2 linked regions of the Callithrix jacchus genome follow. The protein of the gene in region 2 binds, or shares a complex with, the protein of the main gene of each other region. Links are inferred from orthologs where the notes say so. Each region holds a gene or a part of one and is shown on either strand. Other genes may lie near its edges.

Region 1 (4,506 bases), on a different chromosome or scaffold from region 2:
CCGCAGCTGCCCCCTCCAACCCCATAGAAGTAAGAAGCAGAGGCCATGCAGTAACATTCCCCTTTAATAGCCTGGTGGGACCTCCAGAGGTGGAGGGGTGGGTTGCCTGGGCCCAGCTACCCAGGCCCCTTGCCCACCCACTCCACAGCCCAGAGTGGGGGCTGAACAAACACCCAGCAGGGGGCTAGACAAGCCAATTCATTTCCCATTGCTGAGTGGGTCGGGGGAGGCAACACCGACCTTAATCACATGGTGGTTTAAAAAAAAAAAACAAACTAGGGGCAGGTAGCAGGAAGGGGAGGCAAGGCCAAGGCAGGGAATTCCCCCACCGGCTGCCCCCCAACCCCCTGCCGGTGGCCCCCAATAAATATTTGCAGGGGACGCCACGGCTTGTGGCCGTGGCGGGGGTGGGTGTGCGCCAACCCTATTTCAGGCAGCGCTCGAAGTAGGTGGAGCCGATGTAGCCACCCCGCATGGAACGCTGCACGTTCTGCTCAAACAGCCGCCGGTTGTTCTGCAGGACCTCTGCGGCCTCCTTGTTCAGTGGGTCCTCGGGGTTGGGCTCCTGTGGCCAGTACAGGTGGGGTCAACAGGCCAGAGAGACAGAAGACCGATCTCCCCAAACCCAACCACCTATTCCTACTCACCAAGAAGAGATACTGCAGGCCATAAATTATGGAGTTTACCGTAAGGACTGGCTTCCAGTCCTCTCTGTGGACAGAGAGCATCAGGGTCAGGGCTTGGTGAGTGGGAGATTGCCATAGGCCCCTCTGATATTGGACAGGTCAGATCCAGGGCATAGGAGAGTGAGGATGTGGGAGACTGGGAGGGAGGGTGTGGAGCAGGCCAGGACAGGGAGAAAACCAAGGTCAGGCCATGAGGAAGATGACTGGGAAATGAAGAAACCACAGACAACAAAGGGGTGGGTAGGCACAGAGACTGATGTAGTGCCCAGAAGACCATGAGGGGGGTATGACAGGCAGGGCTGGGGAAGGCAGTAGAGGGCCAGTGCCCTCACCTGAGGATGTTGAGGCAGACGTTGCCCTCGAGGTCAATGTTGGGATGATAGACCATTGTCTCACACTTCACCTTGGGGGGATCATGCGGATAACCCTGGCCCACCTGGTTCCAGGAAAAGAAAAGGGAGATGGATTGGTGCCTGGAAGGGCCTCAGCTGCTGCCTCCTCAGTCCAGGCAGCCATCCCTGCCCACCTGGGACTCACCTTAAAACTGAACACAAACTTCCCACTCTTGTAGAAGCCCTGGGAGGGAAAGGGGGAGAAGAAGATTTTAGGGTTCAATCCTGTGGGGCCTGACAGAACATGTCTCCGTCCTCTCAGTGGGGACACTCTTGATCTGCTTCTGTGAATCCAGCCATATGCACCCTCACCTCATCAGGACAGATGACCAGCTTGAAGTTGAGGAGGTCGTCTGGATCTGAGAAGCTGATATCACACGTCTTGGGCAGGTTCAGCTCGTTTATGTCTGGGTTTGGGCAGCAGAGAGTTGGGGAAAGAAAGGGGGAGGGAGAAAGAGGGAGGGGGAAAAAGTGACAAAGAGGGAGACAGCAGGACACTTAGGGCAGGTGTTGTCAGCACAGCCCCTATGGCCTCCTCCTGGACCCCCAAGCCTCTGTCCTGGGCTGTGCTCCACACCTCCAGCCCTCTCCCTTCTCCTGTTTGGCTCTTGTGGATATATGGCATACCCCAAACAGGTATGTTCAGTCTGCGTGTCCCAACTCCTGGCCCAGGGTAAACGCCCAATTTTCTGCATCCATAGCTCCCAAATGCTCCCGCTCCAAATATCCTCTGACCACCCTGAATCCCAGGCTCCCCATCCAAGATGTTCCTACCTGTCCACCCAAAGTCAAGGGTCCTGCCTACCCTCACCAATTTTCAGTCCTCACTGTCCTTTTTCTCTGAGAGAGAAAAAGGCCTTCTTCCCACCTGACCCCCACACTCTCAAGTCCCCAAACCCTCATCACCCTAGCCCACTCCCTCTGACTCCGAGGTTCACAGCACAATAGGCTAAATTTCTTCTCACCCCTGTCTCCAATCCCTGGTAGTCACTAACCTTCTCTCCACCACCTGTCACCCCATACCCCAAATTGCTGTGACTCTGAGGCCCATGAGTTTCGGGTCCTCCAACCTAGTCCACCCGTCTGACTCTTGAGATACACGGAGTCTTCTCCCATTCATATCCCCAGCCCCTGGCCTCTACTATCCCTCTCTCCTCCTGTCATCCCAAACCCAAGTTCCCGTCTAACCCCCAGACTCTCGAGTCCCCAGCTCCTCCACTCCACTGCCTGACTCTGAGATTCCGGGTCCCTCGTACCAGACACAGGCCTTCCTAATATCCTAAACCACCACACACTGGGCCCCTATCTCTGACCCCCCTCCCCGTGACTGCATGACCCCAACCCTCAAGACCTGACCTCCGACCCGCTACACTAGGGGCCCTCCACCTCTGACCCTCGGCGATCGCATGATCCCCTCCTGACGCCCACATCACCCAGCCTCAGGCCCTGAACTCCGACTCTGGCTCCAGCCCCATCCCCTGACCCCCTACCCTTCTGGATCCGCAGCTGCGCCGCCGACGCCTTCTTGCTGCTGCCCTTGGTGCCGCCTGCCGACTCCTCCTCCTTCTTCTGCTGCTTCAGCGAGAACAGCTTGATCATCCTGCCGCCGCCGCCGCCGCTGCCGCCGCCGCGGGGCCCGGGACCCCGGCCACCCGGCCTCCCGCCGCCGCCCGCGTCGCCTCTGCTCCTCGGACCCGCCGCTGCGGCCTCCGCGGCTCTCGCCACCCGCCCGGCCTGCCGCGCCGCTCTGCTCTGCTCCGCGCCCACCGCGCGGCCCGACTCGGCTCCCGTAGTCCGGCTCTGGCCTGGCCTGGAGTCTCGGGCTCGAACGGCAGCGCTCGGCCAAACTCGGGTGTTCTCGGGCCGCCCGGCCCCGCCCCTATCGCCCCCGGCTGCTCCTTCCTTGCCCTCGCCCGCTCTGGTCTCAGGCCCCGCCGCAGCTGCGGACTCTGGTTTCCCCCGGCCGCGCCGTTTGGCCGCTCAGCTGATCCGTCCGCGAGGGAGCTGCGGCTCGGGGTGGGAGGAGGACGGGGCAGCCGCGGTGACGGGGGCTGAGTACTGAAGGATCGGTTTCCGCGGCAGCAGCGGCTTTAGCGCGGAGGTCGGTAACGGCCTCGGGCGCCCCGCCGCTTCGGATATTTCCGCCGCCTGTCCGCTTTGGGTCTTCCCGCCCGGCCTGCGTTGTGCGCCTGCGCAGCCGCGGCAAACTCGCGTTGCTCAGGGATGGAGTTTGGGGTTCGGCCTCCTTCGGCTGGATTCGGGTATTTCCGTTCTTGGAGTTGACGCTTCGGCTGCCCGGCGGGTCACTTCCGGTGACTCTAGCGGGGTCGGGCAGGAAGTGTGGTTAGCCGCCATCTTTGAGTGGGGCAGACGTGGGGTGTTTCGCTCGCGGTCACTTCATCCTATGTTGTACTTGTGCAGAGCGCGGCGCGGGTGGGTCAGAGCCTTTGACCCCATGGGTCACAGACAAAGGCAGGGTGATCGCGGCGAGACTCTGAGTGAGACTAGAGGCGTTACCCAGAGGGTGCGAGGTCGAGCACCTTCATTGTCCCATCGCAAACCCAAAGATCCCAGTTCCTGGAGATTCTGATTGAGGTAAACTAACAAAACATGTATTGTGCCAGATGGTGGTAAGCACTCTGGAGGGTTAAGGTGGTGTAGAGGAAGACCTGTCGGGCTGGACACTTGGGGAACGCGATGTGGGGGCGGAGCCGGGCAGCTCTGGGAGTGGGCCCCCAATTCCAGCAGAGACGCACTGCGGTCTCACGGCTTTCAACCCACTATCTGAAAAAGGGGATATAGGCGGGAGTCAGCTTCCCATCCAATCGCAGCTCAGTGTGTCTGGGAGGGCGGGAGGAAACAGAACCCTGCGGGTCAGCCACTTCCGCCGTCACCACGGAAACCATCGTGCTCGCGAGCGCTTGGTGTGGTGGCACTTGCCTGCGGAGGGGCCCAGGCGCCACCCCTCTGATTCTGCAGCTCCTCGCCCAGGAGTGGTCTCTGGCCAAGGGTGGCTTGTCTGCTTTCCCTGAGGCCACGCCTCCAGCCTTGTGGGTTGGGGTGACTAGAAGCAGCAGGGGAAAGTCTGGCTGCACCCCTGGAAGAAGCTTGGACAACAAGCCTTGAGTCTTAGTTCCTTGAAATGTCCAGGGCCAAGGCTAGCCCGATACCTAGCCAGAGTGAGACCTTGACTGGGGTTTAAGGTTCAAGCTGGACCCTGCTGCACATAGACCCCCTTTGAAACTGCTTTCCACCCTGTGTTACCTGCACCCAAGTCACCCGCCGGAGGGGTGTGTGTGTGTGTGTGGGGGGGTGCTGTGTGAAGGACCTGGCCAATGGGATGAAAGGGGAAGATGGCTGGGCCAAAATAGGCAATGGCACTGGGTCCCGGAGATGCTGTCCTGAAGCTTGCAGTATGCTCAACCTGC
Region 2 (3,809 bases):
TGTATTCAGAAACACAAAGGAGGTCAGTGTAGGGCGAATGCAGGGGGCAACAAAGAGTGAGTATAAATGCAATTTTAAAAAAAGGCTACTGGAATAACAGTATTTTAAAATGATGCTACTAGAATATCATAAATACAAGGAAATAATCACAGGGGAGAAATGGCAGATTTTCAGAAAGAAGATAAAGTTCATTCTGGTTAACTTGGTAATGATCTTGGACAAAATTCTAGAAAAGGTAAACTGTAACAAGATTAGAAATACTGATCATTATGATTGAGCATAATTGGTTACTAGGCAAATCATGTTGGAATAGCCTAATTTAGCTACCATGACTAGCTTATCAACTCAGGAAAATGCAAAATATAGTACACCTAGGCTTCAGTAGAGGATCTGGAAAGGTTTTTTATGACATCCTTGTGAACAAGATAAAGAAATGCAAAGTACTCAAGAAGGTCTGCTGAACAGAATGAGATAAACCTAAAAGAGCCTGGCTAGAGGTATGACTCAGATGTCTGTTCTCAGACAGTTCAGTCTTGTTAAAAATTTTGATCAACTATTTGAAAAAAAAATAAAGGATATAACTATCAAAACAACAGATGAAATAAAGCTAGAAACACCAGGTAAGTTGGCAGAATTGAATACATATAAAGGGAGAAAAGCAAGTTGAATTTCAAGAATACATCTGTAAGGACCTATATACTTGGATATTAAAAAAAAAAAAAAAAAGAACACCTTCCCCCGACACCATCAAGTTTATAATAGGCAAATGTTGCTTAGCAATTACATTATGTGGACAAAACATCCAGCTGTTAGTGGCTAAATTACATTATGTGGACAAAACATCCAGCTGTTAGTGGCTAGTGACATCAAAGAATGGAAAGTATAGCATCAATGTCAACAACAAATAAACAACAAAAATACCTGCTCTCCTTTAAGACTGCATCAATTATTAGAAGTCTATTACCTAAAATAAGACCAGTCCCAGAATGCTGCATGCTGACCTAAACAGTTAGAAGTTGTTTTCTCTAACTATATTCCAGTTAACCAGTATGGATAGCTAGAATACGGTTAGAAAAAATAACATGAGGACCTGAAACTGTACAACGTATCTTAGGGTTTGATATAGTTTGGATATTTGTCCCCTCCAAACCTCATACTGAAATGTGATACCCAGTGTTGGAGGTAGGGCCTAGTGAGAAGTGTTTGGATCATTAGGGCAGATCCCACATGCATGGCTTGGTGCCCTCTCCGTGATATTAAGTTCACGCAAGAGCTGGTTGTTGAAAGGAGCCTGGTACTCCCTCCTCTCTCTCCTGCTTCCTCTCTTGTCATATGACATGTCTTGCTATTCCCCTTAGCTTTCACCATGAGTAAAAGCTTCCTGAGGTCTCACCAGAAGCTGTGCAGATGCTGGTGCCATACTCACACAGCCTGCAGAACCATGAGCAAAATAAACCTCTTTTCTTAATAAATTACCCAGTCTCAGATATTCCTTTATAGCAACGCAAAATGAACTAACACAGGGTTAAAGGAACTAACTAGGGAGGTTTATGGCACTGATAAAAATTTGCCAAGGATGTGATCATTGTCCTCAATGTGTTAAAGGCTATTACTTAAAAGGAAATTAGATTTTATAATACTATACTATTTGGACAATACTCAGACCAAACTGAAGACGATTTCTTTTCTTTTTTTTGAGATGGAGTTTCGCTCTTGTTGCCCAGGTTGGAGTGCAATGGTACAACATTGGCTCACTACAACCTCCACCTCCAGGGTTCAAGAGATTCTCCTGCCTCAGCTTCCCGAGTAGCTGGGATTGCAGGCATGCGCCACCATGCCCGGCTAATTTTGTATTTTTAATGGAGACAGGGTTTCGCCATGTTGGTTAGACTGGTCTCAAACTCCTGACCTCAGGTGATCCGCCCACCTCAGCCTCCCAAAGTGCTGGGATTACAGATATGAGCCACTGCGCCCAACCTGAAGATGATTTCTGTTCAATTTATAGAATACTTGTCTAACAGTCCTGTCCAAATGTGAAATAGACTGTCTCCAAGAGGTGATGAATTCTGTGGAAGATAAAGTGGACAGTTTCACATAGATGGCTGACAGCCTAAATAAGATTCAGTGATTTTATTAAATTCCCCCTAGCTGATAAGTAGCATGAATTACATGGTACCTATACTGAACTTCAGGTGGATGATACCAAACTCACTTATCAGTTATTCTCCCAAAAGCATCCCCAGCCCTAAGTCATCCCAACATCATAATTCAAGACAATTCACTAACTTACCTTGAGTGAGTCTATATGTAACACCCCTAATATTATATTGTGATGCTCTCTCTAGGGATTTTTGGAAAATCCATTGTATATGTTCAGGATCATCTCCATCTAATGGAACACCTTCTGTTTAAAAAAAAAAAAAAAAAGAGAGAGAGGAGAGAAGACAGAAATATGTAATCACAAAACAGTGTTTTTAATGAAATTATCCAAAGGAATAATACAGAAATAATGTGTATTTTATGTAATTCTAGATTATTAAATTAGATTTGTTACCTCCAAAAGGCTGCTCCTTAGGCCACTGCAACATCCTTACATACTCAATACAGTGCTCTGGTAGCCTGGGCATAGATGCAATGGTGCACATGGGAAAATTAACCTAAAGCCATAGTTTGTCCTTTTTAGTAAATTTGAAATGATGAGTAAATTTAGTAATTTTAAAATGCAACTTCCAGTTATGATCTAGTTCGTAACAGTTTCCTATAATTCGTTTCAACTCAAAACATTGTATACCATTAAAAATGCCTCTCAAACTAATATAGATTATCTGAGTCACTTCACTTAAGTTGATCTGCCTATAAAGATAAGTTTGCCCTACATTTACAAGGTATATGAAATTTAAGCTTTGTTAGACTATGAGAAGAAAATGCAGAACAGATTCTCAAATATGAACCTTGTTATGTTTACCTAATATTTAAGTATAAAACAAACGAAAACAAAAGCAAATTCAGAGTTAAATGAATCCCAAGTGAATACTCATAAAATTGTGTACATTTATTATTCAAAATTTCAAGTGTCCTTTAAAGTGGGTATATAAATAAAAAAGCTCCTTCCTTGGAAAGATCATTCTCATCCCTGGTATCTGTGTTTCCCTGAAATAAATACAGGTGAAAACCACATAGATTATAGCGTGACATCAACATACAGCTTTGTAATTCTACTTGATACCTACTCCCCAAATAAAAAATACAAATAAAGTATGAAAACAGAATAGTATCAAAACAATGTACTTGGTTCATATCTTTCCTCAAATAGAACAGAATTTCCTATTTTATTATCTTTCTTCTTAGCATAATTTTAAAATATGGCTACCTCTAATTAAAAACCCTAAATACTGACTAGACTTAATAATTAATCCCTAATTCCATGCCAAGATACTATAAAAGAAATACAGGTGTTCTTTTGATTACCTGCGGTGGATACAGTTCCAGCGTGCATTCGATACAAGCAGTCATTCCAGGCAGAATCACCCTGGCGTTTCCTTTAAAACCTTCTGTGCCTCCATCTATCAAAGGGATAATGGAGCTTGGATCTAAGACACCATCTTCATAATTTAGAAGAGATATCTAGGAAAACAATTTGAAGGGCTTTACAGGAGAAAGGGATAGGAATTCAAAAAAAAGGGAAGTTTTCAAGTAATCCTGTGAGTCAGTTGTGCTACTGAACACCAATGTATCAAATCAAGGAATTACAATACTAACAATTTCTGTCCTCACCTGAAAACCAATGACTGGCAATAAACAGTGAAGTA

What was found.
Region 1: the proteins of UBA3 (region 2) and UBE2M are in contact, whole or in part, in a crystal structure (PDB 2NVU), measured with the Homo sapiens proteins. The link is inferred for Callithrix jacchus from reciprocal best matches to the Homo sapiens genes UBA3 and UBE2M. Residues at the interface, in NP_003959.3 of Homo sapiens: His53, Pro54, Asp55, Glu61, Ser62, Phe65, Cys70, Gln149, Asn152, Asp153, Thr154, Arg157, Gln158, Phe159, His160, Ile170, Arg173, Trp174, Ser181, Leu182, Leu183, Asn184, Pro192, Ile195, Val196, Pro197, Leu214, Met217, Arg254, Met255; in NP_003960.1 of Homo sapiens: Lys3, Leu4, Phe5, Ser6, Leu7, Lys8, Gln9, Gln10, Lys11, Lys12, Glu15, Lys21, Gly22, Ser23, Ser24, Lys25, Lys26, Ala27, Gln31, Leu32, Gln35, Lys36, Ile38, Asn39, Glu40, Phe51, Ser52, Asp53, Pro54, Asp55.

The regions. Positions count from the first base shown.
Region 1 is NC_133523.1:51,191,756-51,196,261, forward strand, and holds UBE2M (NEDD8-conjugating enzyme Ubc12), read right to left. Parts: upstream 2,881-4,506; 5' UTR 2,678-2,880; coding exon 2,569-2,677; intron 1,486-2,568; coding exon 1,391-1,485; intron 1,263-1,390; coding exon 1,224-1,262; intron 1,123-1,223; coding exon 1,019-1,122; intron 712-1,018; coding exon 648-711; intron 566-647; coding exon 425-565; 3' UTR 47-424; downstream 1-46.
Region 2 is NC_133516.1:50,876,844-50,880,652, forward strand, and holds part of UBA3 (NEDD8-activating enzyme E1 catalytic subunit), read right to left. Parts: intron 3,625-3,809; coding exon 3,469-3,624; intron 2,658-3,468; coding exon 2,555-2,657; intron 2,405-2,554; coding exon 2,291-2,404; intron 1-2,290. UniProt on the Homo sapiens protein: Catalytic subunit of the dimeric UBA3-NAE1 E1 enzyme. E1 activates NEDD8 by first adenylating its C-terminal glycine residue with ATP, thereafter linking this residue to the side chain of the catalytic cysteine, yielding a NEDD8-UBA3 thioester and free AMP.